4 linked regions of the Rattus norvegicus genome follow. The protein of the gene in region 3 interacts with the protein of the main gene of each other region in a biochemical or structural test. Links are inferred from orthologs where the notes say so. Each region holds a gene or a part of one and is shown on either strand. Other genes may lie near its edges. The genes, in order: Dsg1, Ctnna1, Jup and Cdh1.

Region 1 (3,861 bases), on a different chromosome or scaffold from region 3:
GTTTAAAAGGGATTATTCATATTTTAGTGGTACACTATAGCTTTTGTATCGTCACTAAAGTCTGATTGTAAGCATGGATTTGAGGCTTTGCTCTTATGAAAAACTCAATTAGAAGCTGAATACTTCTTATTTGAAAATATATTTGCAAAACCTAAGGGTTCACACTCACATAAACTAACCCTCAGTGCAAAATAAAGTAAGGAATGTAAAAAATGTTTCGTTTTTAGTTGTACATTTTACCATGTCTTAAACAAATATACAGACACATTACTTTGACATGTGAATATCAGTGTTTTAAAAATAATCACAATTTTAGATTAAAAATCACTTAATATATCCTGCTACTTCACCACAAGTTATTGCAACATTCAGATCTGGAACTTAAGTTGAACAGAACACTGCTCATAGCACATGTGTTAATGTAGAGAGCGCTTGCTGATCAGGAGAAAGAGATAAGGAAGAGTTAGAGCCATTAATTTACCCCACACCTGTATTGTTTGATCTTATTTTTATTTTGTGTGTTTTTATTTATTGAGTAATATAGACTTTAAAATAGTTTAAAGTTAACCGTTGTGGCTGCTTTTCACAGGTGGTGCTTGAAGTTAACAGTGAATTTCAAATCCAGGTAAGATTTGAAACCTTTTTTTCCCAGACTAATAGAGTAGTGAAGGCTTGTGACCTCAGCACTCCCGAGGCTGAGGCATGAGAACTGTGGATAAGCGGTCCCCTGGGCTACAGAAAGAAACCCTGTCTCAAATCATGTAATAAACAAAAGAAAAGAAAAAACTAGAAAGAGAAAATGGGGAAAGGGACAGAGGGACAGAGGGAGCAGACCAAAAGAGAGTTGACTTGGCTGTCCTCAAGAAAACCTTCATTCTTATAAATACAAAACCACTACAGTGGGACAGTTCCAACTGCTAAAATTACCAGAGTTCTTAGTTTGCCACTAAACTATCCATCTTCTCTTCCTGACATAATTGCTCCTCCTCCAAAATCCCCAGTGGAATACCCATAAGTAACAGTTAACAGACACAACGTTTTACCTATTTAAGGTAAGAGATCATAACGCCAAAAATGGTACCATCAAGTGGCATTCCATCAGAAGGCAGAAACGAGAATGGATCAAGTTCGCCGCAGCCTGTCGGGAAGGAGAAGACAACTCAAAAAGAAACCCAATTGCCAAAGTAAGTGTGAACCCAGAACAGGAGTCTGGACCGCACAAGGGCTAGGGCGCACTTCTGGAAGAGCCCAGTTTTCATGTGCTTTGTAAACACATATTACTGAAAAGGTACGGTCTAACAGCACCGCCCCACTCAAATTATGAAAACCAAAATTCCTAAAGGGATAAACCAAGAACGTTGGGTGCTTGAATAAAGCGCTAAACACCGTTTTGTCTCATTGGCAAAAGTAACACCCATGAACGTGCGTAACACTAAACTCCAAAAGGACCATGATTTACAAATGCATTGAGGACTCAACGTGGTCAGACCATGTGCTCTTTCTGCTGCATAACCCTCAGAATTAACTCCTGTTTGCCCATATTTACAAACATCCAGAGGTTGTCTCGTTCATAACCTCAAGCTCCTCTCATTCTCCTTCTTCTTTTTTTCATACACAAAAGCACAAACTCAGGAACCTACTCCCTACATACACACAGATTCACCCCCACAGACATGTAGATACACACACAGAGATGTAAAAACAGCCATTTGTACAGATACACAGGCAACTCCCTTGTAAGATTTGCTTATATTCATAAACTATTTAGAAGTTACCACCCTTTATTGGAGTGGGTACTTTCCTTCTCCTCCCCACTTTTAAAATTAGAAGTTTCAAATAGCCTGCTACTATAAAGTCCATTTAAATACTTTCCTGAATCTTTGTATTTTTAAAGTTATATTTAATTTAAATACCAACATTACATGATAACTCTCTAAGAAGGCTATCTCTAGACAAAGAGCTAGCACAGAGTCCAAAACTAATATGAAAATAAAACTATAAATGTTTGATGATTATGACCTCTATGACTGATGTATATAAAGACTTCTTAGGGTGACATTTGTTTCTTTATTGTTTGGTAGACATAGAAATGGAATTGTTTTATTACATTGTTATTTATCATTTCCCCGTTTCTAAAAACTCCCAGGTGATGTTGTAGACCGCATACTCAACAGTTCTCCAGGAAGACAGTTGTCATCTGTTGCGTGTAGAAGTTCACATGGCCCTTGTAACATCTTCACTGTGTCTTTATACAGATTCATTCAGATTGTGCTGCAAACCAACCAGTGACATACCGCATCTCCGGAGTAGGAATTGACCAACCACCTTATGGAATCTTCATTATTAATCAGAAGACTGGCGAAATCAATATAACATCCATTGTTGATCGTGAAGTCACCCCCTTTTTCATTGTAAGTGGGCTTTGTGTCAATATCTTTATTCAAGTAGATGTTATTCCTGGAAAAATCTTAGACCATACCAGATTTGATTTCAAGAGTCTCAATATTGGGCCTTCTGAGATCTTTCTTAATTCATTACCCCAATAGATGAGGAAATATTAATAGAGAAATGTTTCCCTTATGTGTTAACAAAAATCTTAGTTTACATCAGCTCTGTAACAAATTAATTTGTTTGGAAGGACAAATCTTTAACTTCTATTCAATCTTTAAAAGAGAAACATCAGTGGAAATCAATAGTTCCTTCTTTTCATTAATTAACTTATTTACTTTGCATCCAGATCAGAGCTTTCCCTCCCCTTCCCTCCCCGTCCCCTATGTCCCCCTGCCTTTCTCCTTTTAAGCCAAGGGATGAGCCTTGAGCTCCTGGAGGCCAGTTGTTTCATGTGAACAAATTTCATTATAATCAAACTCATCTGAGCTCTAAATTAACTTCAGAAACTCACTCATCCCTACCTGGCCTTATCTCTCTTTTTTATTCCTAGACACTGTCACACAACTTCAGTAGCCTCTCTTCTAATGTGCCTTAACCTCTGACTTACCTTTTCTCTTCTGTTCTCCTCATCTATCGACTGCCTCCATTTCCATCAATCACATGGCTGACATTTCTTAATTAAAAAAAAAATAAAATAAAAATGAAAACAAACTTTTCACTGATCTTACAGTCTCTTCTATTAAAATCCCATCAAAGATCGGAGGATGAAACTCAGTGATTAAGCATTTGCTGACTCCATGAAAAGGCCTGGCTTTGATTCCCAGCCCTGAAAAAAAATCATATTCCAAGCTACCTTCAGATATTCCTTACTTTTTGCTGCCTTAATTCACACTGCTCATCTGCGTCCCTAGAATTACTTTAATCACTTGGCTTCCAAGTCCAAATCGGTATTCCAACACTTAAGAATGCCACTTATTGTTTACAGTGCTCCTGACTATCCCTGACCACATTCTCTAACGTCCTCCTCTGGCATGGCTTGATTGTAAACATAGACTATGCATCATTCCTTTTATCTAACGTACCAGGATGTTTTTAAACTTGCATTGAATGCTCTTCCTTGCCTTGTCTTATTGATTGTATAAGTTGCTCGTGTCGCTGTTTTAGTGGGAAGTAATAATAATAATAATAATAATAATAATAATAATAATAATAATGTGTCCCTTAATCCTGTGGTACCCAGGGATGCCTGCATTCTGTGAGAAGTGACAAATACATGCCTTGCCACTGACTTTTTCCTTTCCCGTCTAGATCTACTGCCGAGCACTGAATGCACAAGGTCAAGACCTGGAGAATCCACTAGAGCTTAGAGTCAGGGTGATGGATATAAATGACAACCCTCCTGTGTTTTCAATGACTACATTTCTAGGACAAATCGAGGAAAACTCTAACGCAAGTGAGTCACCTGCACTA
Region 2 (3,861 bases), on a different chromosome or scaffold from region 3:
TGTAACCCCATGGTGACATTAGTGGCTTTGTAAGGTAAGGAAGAGTCCTGAGTGGTCTTGAGGGAGGATGCCCTTTGCCTGTTTCCAATACAATGAGAGGGCCTTCTCAGTGCTGCGTGGATGGTATAAATATCTTTGGTATCACAATGCACAGGTTGAGAAGTGCTGATGTGCAAGGAATTCCTAATGAACTCGGGGGCACGGAGAATTAAAATTCAGACAGAATTACTTTCTAGTAAGTTTCTCTATTTAGAAATAAATTTTGGACTGTTACTATGTTTTTACTCAAGAATACCATCTAGTCAAGCATCTTGGTATATGCCTTTAACCCCAGCACGAAAACAGATGCTGGGACGAAAACATAAGGAAGGAAAATCAAAAGTTTAAAGCCAGCCTTGAACTACTTAAAACAGAAACACTGTATAGAAATGTGAGCGAAACTTAATTTTAGAACCACATGAACAGGGGAAAGCAATGACACCATTAGAAAACATAGGCAAATCAGGTCATTCCCACTGATATTAAAATACACTCTAGCCTGGTCCATAACAAACAAAGCGATCAGTAGGTGAGTAGCATGCAGCGTCTGCACTCGTGCTTGTACCTGTTGTCGTTTTGCTGCCATGATGTTCAGCTTATCTACTTCTGGTTTCAGAGCTCTGTACTGTATCCCTAGATCCTGCTCGTTGCCAGCATTCCTCAGCTTCAATATGCCGTCTTCCACCTAAAACAAACCAGAAAAGCAATCAAATCCATAGGTAAAATGTAATAAGTTCTAAGATGCCATCTTCTTTAACAGCTAGTCGGACAGCAACCCAACATGTATGTGTAGTTGATGGGGCCTGGCACTGCTTGAGTGCTCGAGTGATTTGGAAGAATTGGGGAGCACCTAATTAGTTTATATTTTGGCTTTCTAATTCGGAAACACCATTAGTCCAAAGAAACATACAATGAGTACTATATAGAAAGGCAGTCAAAAATAGCTTTGTTACAATTTCTTCAGCAAAACTGAGGCAACAGTAGCCTATGGAGGAGCCTGTATCATAAATACTTGAAACTGAACGAAGCAATCAAAACTGATTCAAAACCAAAATAATTCTTAATACTAAACAAAGTGTGGCCAACATTAACTTCCCGAGGACATGAAGAATAAATTATAGACATAGACCCAAACTTACAACTTTCAGCTGAACAAGTAACTTGTAGACATCTGCCATGTCAGCCAGAATCAGCAGCCGGGTAACGGCGGAAAGCAGAGCTCGAGCTGCCCGAACCATGTTACCTCGCTTCACAGAAGAGCACGGATCATCTGCAAACTCCCCAGCAGCGCTCTTCATCAGATCTCCTGTTTTACAGAATGAAAACACAAAGCCAGCAGAAATTAACCCAAATAATTTATTCATTAAAAACTAACATTTTATTAAAGGGTAAGATAGCCCTCGCTCCATTACTTCATAGAAACATGGATTTTAAGAGTCTGTTTCTGTTTTTCTCCCTTTAGTTTGTACTATCACTTAAGCATCTTCCTATAACAAGGATCAAACACAGAAAGTAACTAGGCACTATAACAAAAAGGCTTACAAATAGCTCTTCCCTTAACTCAATGACTAAAGGAAGTCAGATAAACACTTAGAACAGCTGTAATAGAGTCTAGCTTTCAACCATAACAACTTAATCTCCATCTACCAGGTGCTTATTAGTTAAAACAAAATACAAATCACACTGAGCATGTAAGTGTGAGGCCTGTAGCTATGATCCCAGTATTCCAGAGGCTCAGAAAGAAAACTTTCTGATTCAAGGCTGGCAGACTACAAAGTCAGATCCAGTTTCCCATCACTCACCTACAAAAATCCAATAAATAAAGCTGAACAATTAAAACAATCTCTGAATTGACACACAAAAAAAGAAAAGATACAAACAGGTCCTAAAAGAACTAAGCTCAAATGCCACCTTAAAGGCTATCCCTGTGGCAGTTAAGATAAATAAGACTAATTTCTTTTTCACATGAGAGTATATGCCCACGGTTGACCCCTTTTACCTTATTCACTGCGGCAAGATCTCTCCACTGAACCCAGAGCTCTGGTCTGGCTAACTAGCTTACTGTGGAAATCTATCCTTGCCTTCCCAGTGCTGGAATTACATGGGTATGCTATGCCCGTCCAGAATTTACATTTGTATCTGAAGATACAAATGTGGTCTAAGCACCACATTTATAATAAATGCACTTTAGCCACTAACCCTTCTCCCCAGCCCAGTAAAATTTTACTAAGCTTTTTCTGTAAAAATTAAAAGAAAATCAGCAGCAGCAATCAGCAATTCTTGAACCAGATCAGCAAGATGACTCAGCAGATAATACTTGCCACCATGCCTGGCCATTTGATTTGATCTCTGAAAGCCACATAACAGAAGGAAAGAACCAGCTCTCATAAGTCGAACTATAACCTCCATATGTATACATATCTCTTTATACATACCTCTACCTACAACATATAAAAATTTTAAAACAATTAAAAAAAAGGGGGGGGGGCTGGAGAGATGGCTCAGTGGTTAAGAGCACCGACTGCTCTTACGGAGGTCCTGAGTTCAATTCCCAGCAACCACATGGTGGCTCACAATCATCCGTAATGGGATCTGATGCCCTCTTCTGGTGTATCTGAAGACAGCTGCAGTGTACTTGTATATGATAAATAAATAAATCTTTTTAAAAAAAAATCTGGGTTGGGGATTTAGCTCAGTGGTAGAGAGCTTGCCTAGGAAGCGCAAGGCCCTGGGTTCGGTCCCCAGCTCCGAAAAAAAAGAACCAAAAAAAAAAAAAAAAAAATCTACTTACGTCAAAGTATGTATTAAAAAAAAAAAGACAAGAGTTCCAGGCTATCCAGGGCCATCCAGTGAGACTGTCGAAGGAAGGGAGGGAGGGAGGGAGGGATTGACTGACTGATGGACTGATTCTTAAGTAAGACAAAATGGCTCATGCCTATCATCCTACCATTTGGAAAGGCAACACAATTACAGAGTTGAATACATGAAAAAAGGTCCAACCCAGCCTGGCTACATGAGACCTATGTCTAAAAAGAAAATAAGCAAACCAATCAGGTGATAGCGCACACCTTTACTCTCAGCACTAGAAAACCAGGCAAGCAGATTTCGGTAAGTTCAAGGCCAGACTGATCTATACAGTGAGCTCCAAGGTATCAAGGGCTATTATATAGTGAGACTCAATTACAATAATTGTCAGTAAATCTTTAAAGTCAGCCTGGTCTAAAGAGCAAGAACCAGGACAGCCAGGGCTACATAGAGAAACCCTGTCTTTAAAAAAAAAAAAAATTAAAATAAAAATAAATTAAAATTAAAAATAAAAATAATTAAGTTTAAAAAGAGAGAACCTTCTACTATTACACCATCTGCTATGAATCCAGATCTGTCAACCCTGATGTTTTCCTCTCGTTCAGAGACCATAACAATTAAGCACTTCTATTAGTTCAAAACAAAGACAAAAGAGGGGAATAAATCCTCAGTTCTTTATTAGAACAAGATTAAGATCAAGACCTTTCTTAAGAATCAATTACTTTGGGCTGGAGAAATGGCTCAGTGGTTAAGAGCACCGACTGCTCTTCCAGAGGTCCTGAGTTCAATTCCCAGCAACCACATGGTGGCTCACAACCATCTGTAATGAGATCTGATGCCCTCCTCTGGTGTGTCTGAAGACAGCTACAGTGTACTTACATATAATAAATGAATAAAATATTTAAAAAAAAAAGAATCAATTACTTTAACTATATTCCCTCAAAGCAACCAAACTTTATAAATTTATAGGAAAAGAAATGTGGGCAAAAAAATTGGGGGAATGATTATAAAGGAGAC
Region 3 (4,488 bases):
TCAAGAAAGGACGGGGGGGGGGGGGGGCGGGTTGGGGATTTAGCTCAGTGGTAGAGCACTTGCCTAGCAAGCGCAAGGCCCTGGGTTCGGTCCCCAGCTCCGAAAAAAAAAAAATTAAAGGACAGTGGGGGGATACAACTTCCATCCAGGGCCGATGATGGATCCCATGGGAAAGTGCTTGCCTACGTGCAAATCCACAAGGCCCTGGATTTGGTCCTTAGCAGCCAAAAGAAAAAGGGGAAAGAAAAAAGAAATCCTTCCAGAGTTGTAGTAGAGCCTAACAGCAGAATGAGGTCTGAGCTTAGCCCTCTCTTGAGTCTAGCAACACTGGGCAAGTTGCTATCCTTCCCTGAGTTTCTGAAGAAGACATTAAAGTGCGCCTGCCTCGGGCTGGAGAGATGGCTCAGTGGTTAAGAGCATTGCCTGCTCTTCCAGAGGTCCTGAGTTCAATTCCCAGCAACCACATGGTGGCTCACAACCATCTGTAATGAGATCTGATACCCTCTTCTGGTATGTCTGAAGACAGCTACAGTGTGTTCATATACATAAAATAAATAAATAAATCTTTAAAAAAAAAAAAAAGTGCGCCTGCCTCTGTGAGCATGGTTAGTGGCGCTTGGTACCAGACAGTCTTCTGGCTTTGAGTTACCATCAGTCAAGTACTTTCTGGGTAGCTAGGTTTATTAATTCCTGAGGTCGCTGAGCCAGGAAGGTGCTTTGACGCAGGCTGCACAGGTAAGGAGACACTGCTCAGGGATTCAAACTATCTCAGTCCAAGTCCCTGTTCTCAGAGCTGACCCCTTAGACTGTCTCCCTAGATCACTGTCCTTCTGTGGACCAGCCAAATGTGTCACCTTGTCCTAAAGCAGCTCTGCAGGACGACAGGCCTCCCTCTCATAGGCAATGACCTGTGGGCCCCCAGGAAGGAAAACAGTCAAGCAGGCCCCGCCTGACCTTCCGTTCCCACAGGCTGCATTCTCCAAGCTCAACCTTAGCAGGCCAGACGGCGGCTCCAGAGGGAATGGGGTGGAGCTCGGGTGCGGGGGAGGCTTCTGTCACCCAAGCCCAGACTTGATCTGGTGAGAAATGACTAATCGGATCCTACCTTTGCTTCCCCTCCCTCCTGTCCGTCAGAAGCCAGCTTGGGCCGGGCAGCTCATAGCCCTACTTCTTCCTCAGTACTGTCTTTTCACCAGAGCCACGAACCAGATTTGCTAAACTATTCATTTAGTTCACCTAATGACAATGCCTACCCCTCCTCCTCCTTGACACGGAGAGGACATGAGCCTAAAACTAATGCCCCCAGTTCTTCCTAGAGGTGGTCACACATATTTTACCAACCACAGGACCTAAGGCGAGATTACGGGGGATATGTCTCCCACCCCCACTCTTCTATTCACAACCAAGCACCACCTCAGCTTCCAGGAGAATCAGAGCAAACAGTGCTCACGACCCCCACCCCATCTTCCCTCTGCCCCCCCCCCCCGCTAGCGTTGTCATTCCTGCTCTGTCCCCCCAAGAAGACTGGACTCCAAATGCCTATGAAAAGGCCAATCTTCAGATTTGTACAGAAGAGTGCAGCAAGCCGAGTAGAAGTTGACAATTCCAGCTGGAGAGGAGCTCTCAGCACAGGGAACCAAGGGGAGGGCTCACACTGTTCACCCTGAGGGTGCCTGGCATGGCAGAAGCCTTCCATAGCAAAGACTTCCTCCTGTCCCACTTTCCCCGCCAAACACTCAGTTAAAGAGTGGGTGGAGGAGGGACTTCTGGCAAGTCCTCTAGAAAGGACGCACCTTCATAATTCAAACCCAGTGAACAGCAAGCAACATTCCTGCCCTATGCTACCCTGCCTCAATGGTCAGCCAGCTAAATAAGCTGGGGGATGGAACGGGGGAGTTGGGGAAAGATTAATCACTCTTCCCAATCTTCCTAGTTTGGCCCAGCCCTGCCCCAACCCCATTCCTGGGGAAGGGGCAGAGCTTGGGAGGAGAGGCACTTAGCAGGCCTCATATAAGGGGGTGTGGTGGTCCCGTGAGGATGCGAAAAGGGAAGGAAGAAGACACTTCCCTTTTCAGCAACGCCCCCACCCACCCCCATTGGTCCCTACCTCGGGCCTTAGGGGCCTAGCAAACAGGATGGAGGTGGGGGCAGGGAGAACCGGGTCAAAGCGCACAGGCTGTGTTCAGCTTGGAGCTGACCAGGGAAGAGGCTTTCCTCTAAGAAGTACCACCAAGCCTTGAATCAGCTCTCAACAAGGAGACGGGGAAAATCCTAGAAAAGGCCCCCACGGTTACTTTCTCCTGGAAAGTTTGTTTGGAGTGATTTCTCAACAATAATGGGTTGCAGAAATCAAAAGATATCGCTGTTTCCCTACCAACACTCTGGAAACCACAAGCTACTAAAATCTGGGCGAGTGTTTCTTAATTTTCTCTACCGGCCCAGACTCCAGGCCATGCCACCAGGTCAGACAGACATCGGTAGGGCACTGAGCCCAGACCCTTCACCAGTTCCCCCGTCACCCCATCCACCTCCGTAAGAGAAGCCATAGACCGGCGTACACTAGAGCGGAGGGAGGCGCCACAGGTCCAGCTCGGAGCTACAGGGCAGGGCCTCGGTCCTCCAAGCGCTCACCTGCTCTGCTCAGCAGGTGGGAATCGCGTCTCTGGGAAAATGTGCACTCGGCCCCCACAGTTGGGTAAGCTGGGCGCAGACAATAGGGCCCCACCCAGGCCTGGGGGAGTAGGGAGGGAGGGAAAGCGAGGATGACGCGTGGGGTGGGGTGAGGGTGGCCCCAAAGAGACTAGGCAGCAAGTTTCCCGAGCGGTAAATTCCTGTCACCGTGGGATCTGGGACCAGGCGGAGCGGGTCAAAGTCTGCCCGGTCAGCTCCAGGGGAGAGTCAGCGACGCCGCGTCGGGCAAGCTCCGCGGGCCCTGGGGGAGGCGCGAACTCCGAGGCACCTGCCCTAGTTCCTCCCCGCCCTTCTCAGACCTGCGGTTCACCGAGCCTGGAGGGGCGCTCCAACCCAGATCGCTTGTCCCAGGGGTCCCGTGCCCCGGACCCCAGTGCGCCCCCTGTCGCTGGTGTAGGATGCACTCCCTGGCACCCGCCCTCACCTGCCCTGAAACCGCTGGAACCAACCTCTCGGCCGCTTGCCCTACTCTACCCTCAGTGATACGTACCCCTATCCGGTGTACCTGAGCGTGGAGCCGGGCCGAGCCGGGTCGGGGTCGGGTCTGGCCGGGAGACAGCCGGCGCAGGCAGCGAACTGAGCTCGGGGCGCTCGGGCGGCGGCTGCTCCGGACTCTGGCCAAGGCAGCAACTCAGTAACCGAACAAAAGGCAAAGGGACCTGACAGCCAAGCCACACCTCTCGCCCCCTTGAAGCTCCGCCCCCTAGGGAGACTCCCACCCTCTGAGGTTATCTCACTGGCTGCCCAGCCTGACTATCCTATTGAGGGGCGGAGCCTCACGCCGGGACCTCTACCACGGCCGCCTCTGTTTATGCGCTCACCATTGGCCCCAGGGACTGCCAGTCGACTCTGGGGTGGACGCCAACTTGAGGTCTCATCCTCACTCTGCATCTATTGGCAAATAGAAAGTTTCTTCCTTATGATTGGACAGAGGGCTGTCAGTAAGACTAAGGCAAAAGCCAATGGAACAGGTGGGGCGTTACTTGCCCCACCCTAGCCCTGAGCAGGTAAGACTCATTATTCTCCCCTTCCCCCTACCTGTCCAACAGGTGAGTCAGGGGGAAGCATGGGAAAGGACTGACGCCTTCACTAGCCAGCCAACTCAGCGTCAGGATTATTCATTCTTGCCTCAACATAGTAATAAGATGTTTGTAAAGCATTTCATAGGCTTTGTGCTAGGTTGGGATTTCTCCCCCTACAAAAGATGGAGTGTTCCCGGTTCTCTTCTGTTTAGAATTAGAAGGCCTGGTTTGGGTTCTCCCCTTAATCTTTGTATGACCTTAGGCCAGCTAGTATACTTTTCACCCTGTATCTAAGTGGGTTCATTAGCTTTATCTATCTTGGGTTGGAGAGATTAAATAAACTTTGTAGCTTAAACAGCTGAGGAATGTCAGTATTTAAGCCAGTGAGATGGTCCGTTCGAGACAGTTCTTAAAAAGTGCTGGAGCAGGCAGCCAGGCAGTGGTGACACGGGCCTTTAACCTTAACCTCGGCACTCAAGGAGGCAGAGGCAGGCAGCTCTCTGAGTTAGAGGCCACCCTGGTCTACAAAGAGGGTTCAAAATGATCCGCATTAAGAGAATCTTTAATGGGCTTGTGTGATGTCTCAGTTGGGCAAGTGTGATGACCTGAGTTTGATACCTGGTGGAGGTAGACCAAGTCCAAAAGGTTGTCCTCTGTCCCCTGATCTCCCGCCTTGGCACAAGTGCCACACACATAAAAGTAAATACAGTGTAATGCGATTTTAAAACTAAGCTCCAGAGATCGAAAGACTAGGAAATGTGGTGCACTGTAAACT
Region 4 (3,861 bases), on a different chromosome or scaffold from region 3:
GGTGTGCAAGCATACATGCAGGCAGAACACCAATTTAAAAAAAATATTTATTTACTTATGTGTACTGGTGTTTTGTCTGCATATATGTCTGTGTGAGAGTGTTGAATCCTTAGGAACTGGAGTTACAGGCAGTTCTGAGCTGCTGGGTGTGCTACAGATTGAACCAGGTCCTTTGAAAGGGTAGCCAGTGTTCTTACCTGCTAAGCCATTTCTCTATTCCCCACCCCCTCTCTTTTACACACACACACACACACACACACACACACACACACACACGAATATTTTGGCTCCAGGTATGTATATATACCATATATATACCTGAGCTAATACCTAAGGAAGTCACTGAGTCCCCTTGGACCTGAGTTACAGATGGTTATGAGCTACCGTGTCAGTATGGGGAACCAAACTCAGGTCCTTTACAAGAACAACCAGTGCTCTTAACAACTAAGCCATCAGGGTTGGGGATTTAGCTCAGTGGTAGAGCGCTTGCCTAGCAAGCGCAAGGCCCTGGGTTCAGTCCCCAGCTCCAAAAAAAAAAAAAGAAGAAGAAGAAAACAAACAAACAAAAAAAAAAAAAAAAAAACCAAAAAACAAAAAAATAACTAAGCCATCTTCTGAGCCAAGTCAACATCTTACAATTTTTGTTATGTATGTGTATATGTCAGAAGTCACTTAGGAAAGGCTAAGGCATACAAGTGAGGTTTCTGGAGATGGCCACCATTTTGTATAGGTGCGATGGGTGAGCTCTGAGAATGCAGGGTCCTCAGAGACTTCATCCCAGGATTGCTTCTTGCTACTGTATTTCCTTTCACTATCGCACAGCCAATTCCTGGGCATCAGCCCACCCTATTGGGCACATCTCCTACAGAATCAATATGAAGATGTGCTTTCATATAGTAATGCCTATAGAATTGATGATTTCATAATTCTTGATAATGATTTTATAAAATTCCTAAATTGATACAAGTAATCTCAAGTCCCCTACAGAAGAAAAAGCTGCAAACAGAGCTCTGTAAACCGTCACGTGTTACAGGCTAACTGCACTAAGAAAAGAAAGCAGCAGGCGGGGGCTGGGGATTTAGCTCAGTGGTAGAGCGCTTACCTAGGAAGCGCAAGGCCCTGGGTTCGGTCCCCAGCTCCGAAAAAAAGAACCAAAAAAAAAAAAAAAAAAAAGAAAGCAGCAGGCTTGGAACAAATTTACGACCAAGTAAAACATTCCTTCTAGGTTAGGAACAAGGCCACTATCTGGTAACTAAAGGTCATAAACTGGGAATGGACAATTTATTGTAGGTGCAAATACAACAAATAAAATATTGACTAGTTTATCTATACAAAACTTCAAAACTAATAAGACGCAAGGTAGGTGATTTATCTCTTAACAAAATTGTGTTAACTTGTGATAAAAAAAATTATTTACTTATATTGGATTTATGGGTCTAGAAGATAGATAACAGATGTTTCATCAGATACTAGTCTTAATGGGAAGAAATGTAAACATTTCTGCTGTAACTCCTTAAATCTTATAACTATTGCCTTAAATTTACTATGAACTTACAGAACGTAAGAGTGTTTAGAAATCATGTAATCGTTGGGGATTTAGCTCAGTGGTAGAGTGCTTGCCTAGCAAGCACAAGGCCCTGGGTTTGGTCCCCAGCTCCGGGGGGGGGGGGCGGGGGGGGCAAATTACATTATAGAAATCATGTAATCGATTATCCTACTGCAACAGTTCTAACTGATAGTTGTATGAGGGGATTTTCAGAGAATGTGAATAGTGAGAACAGAAACAAAGATTTGTTGGAGCTTCTTCTCTCTGCTTCATCCAGAGTGAGTGTTTTTCTGTGTTAGAGACTTTTCCTTTCTCTCTGGCTTACAGAGTTAACAGAACTCTCAGCCTCAGTCAAAGAGGAGTCAGCCCAAGCAACTAACTACTTTTCTTAATCCTCTACATCTACCAGCAGGAGTTAATTGCCAGAAATCAGCAGCTTTTAGCCATAGAATAGCAAGAGAGTTAAACTGCCAGATGCCATTAGCTTCTGGCTCCTAGAACAGTAAGGAAGAGCTATAAGACTATCATCAGTCTTTAGCCTTTGTCCCTCCCACCTCAGTACCTATCCCCAGCTTGGCAGTATATATCTGTGTGTCTGTCTCTCTGTCTCTCTCTCTCTCTGTGTCTGTCTGTCTCTCTGTGTCTGTCTCTGCGTGTGTGTGTGTGTGTGTCTGTCTCTGTGTGTGTGTCTGTCTCTGTGTGTGTGTCTGTCTCTGTGTGTGTGTCTCTGAGTGTGTGTGTGTGCGCGCGCGTGTTCACACACACTTTTGTGGAGTTATCAATGGAGGTTGTCATAAGGTATCAGAGCAGCCGGAGCAGGAGTTTCAGGTGGTTGTGATCCACCTACATGAATGCTGGGAAGTGAACTCTTCAAGAGCAACAAATGTTCTTACCCGTTGAGCCATTCCTCCAGCCTACTTTGACAGCTTTTATCTAAGCTCATGCATGATATGATGAATCCCTACGACAACAGCAATGAACCGCCCCGACTTGTTAAGATAATTTAAGCTACTTGTATGTCCAGGACATCCAAACTGGGGAATAAAACACCAGCTGCTTTAAAATTTGACAATTGTTATCCAGTGGTCAACAATATCTAAGAAATACTCACAAGGTACTTGTCAATGGCTTCTCTGTCCAGAGGCTGCGTCACTTTCAGCCAGCCTGTCTCCCTCTCAATGATGAAAACGCCAACAGGGGGTTTGTCAGCTCCTGGGCCGGTGATGCTGTAGAAAACCGTTGTCTCTTTGTCCCTGTTGGATTTGATCTGAACAGAAAACAGAAGCGAATGGGAATTGGAAAGGCAAGATCTCCACATGGGGTCTTTACATTTTCTCTTCTCTCAGGAGTGCCTTCCACCAGCTTCCTCCCGTACCTGAACCAGTCGCTGGGGGAATTCGCCCTTTTGATTTTCCGGGCAGTTGATGGGAGGGATGACCCAGTCTCGTTTCTGTCTTCTCAGACCCTGGTGAAAGCTGGGAAACGTGAGCAGCTCTGGGTTGGATTCAGAGACAGGGTCCTAGGTGGAAAGATTAACAAAATGAGGTAATGCAGAGGACATACAAGTCTAACAGTTCATCTATCCCATGGACGTCTTCCATCTTGAATTTAGTGACTCCTTCTCAGTGACAAATTACATGTACCATCCAGGATGAACAGCTAAAACATAAGCCAAAGAAATGCAAATGCTGTTGTCTGGACACTGACTACCCACAATATTCCCTATGCCTAAAAGCATTGTTCCTAACTTAGTGGCTAATGAGAGGTCTTCTCTCCTGTGTGCTGCTACTCTGATGTGCTACAAAATAAAAGTGCAATTTGGGCTTGAACCACCAGAAAGAAAAACTCAAGTTTTGTTTGTTTGTTTGTTTGTTTGTTTGTTTGTTTGTTTGTTTGAGATAGGGTTTCTCTGTGTAGCCCTTTGCAGTCCTGGAACTTGTTCTGCAGACCTGGCTGGCCTTGAACTAAAGAGAAATCCACCTGCCTCTGCCTTCCAAGTGCTGGAATTAAAGGCATGTGCCATCCATCACCACCAGGCTGTTCTCATTAAATTCTTAATATGTAGCATTCAAATAATCACCGTGCATACAAAATTTGCGGGTTTGAACATTTGATGATTGTATTTGAAAGTCATTTCAAACTTATATAGTACATGTCCTTTAAGCCCCAGCCTGCCCTGATGATGTCAGAAGTAATTCAGTAGCTAGCTAGCTATTTGGGAGTTCTGAGTTTCCTTTCTTCTGCTTTCCTAGGGGTGCAATTCACCAAAGTGGAGTTATCAATCAACAAGTTTGGTAATGCTCTTAAGAACTATT

What was found.
Region 1: the proteins of Jup (region 3) and Dsg1 form a complex in vitro, tested with the Homo sapiens proteins (2 studies listed by BioGRID and IntAct). The link is inferred for Rattus norvegicus from reciprocal best matches to the Homo sapiens genes JUP and DSG1.
Region 2: the proteins of Jup (region 3) and Ctnna1 form a complex in vitro, tested with the Homo sapiens proteins (2 studies listed by BioGRID). The link is inferred for Rattus norvegicus from reciprocal best matches to the Homo sapiens genes JUP and CTNNA1.
Region 4: the proteins of Jup (region 3) and Cdh1 form a complex in vitro, tested with the Homo sapiens proteins (2 studies listed by BioGRID). The link is inferred for Rattus norvegicus from reciprocal best matches to the Homo sapiens genes JUP and CDH1.

What each region holds. Positions count from the first base shown.
Region 1 is NC_086036.1:11,957,924-11,961,784, forward strand, and holds part of Dsg1 (desmoglein-1), read left to right. Parts: intron 1-589; coding exon 590-625; intron 626-1,052; coding exon 1,053-1,184; intron 1,185-2,255; coding exon 2,256-2,411; intron 2,412-3,699; coding exon 3,700-3,844; intron 3,845-3,861. UniProt on the Homo sapiens protein: Component of intercellular desmosome junctions. Involved in the interaction of plaque proteins and intermediate filaments mediating cell-cell adhesion.
Region 2 is NC_086036.1:27,054,242-27,058,102, reverse strand, and holds part of Ctnna1 (catenin alpha-1), read right to left. Parts: intron 1,346-3,861; coding exon 1,179-1,345; intron 725-1,178; coding exon 605-724; intron 1-604. UniProt on the Homo sapiens protein: Associates with the cytoplasmic domain of a variety of cadherins. The association of catenins to cadherins produces a complex which is linked to the actin filament network, and which seems to be of primary importance for cadherins cell-adhesion properties.
Region 3 is NC_086028.1:85,824,413-85,828,900, forward strand, and holds the start of Jup (junction plakoglobin), read right to left. Parts: upstream 3,018-4,488; 5' UTR 2,632-3,017; exon of another isoform or gene 2,559-2,631; intron 1-2,558. UniProt on the Homo sapiens protein: Common junctional plaque protein. The membrane-associated plaques are architectural elements in an important strategic position to influence the arrangement and function of both the cytoskeleton and the cells within the tissue.
Region 4 is NC_086037.1:51,453,875-51,457,735, reverse strand, and holds part of Cdh1 (cadherin-1 precursor), read right to left. Parts: intron 3,066-3,861; coding exon 2,922-3,065; intron 2,814-2,921; coding exon 2,658-2,813; intron 1-2,657.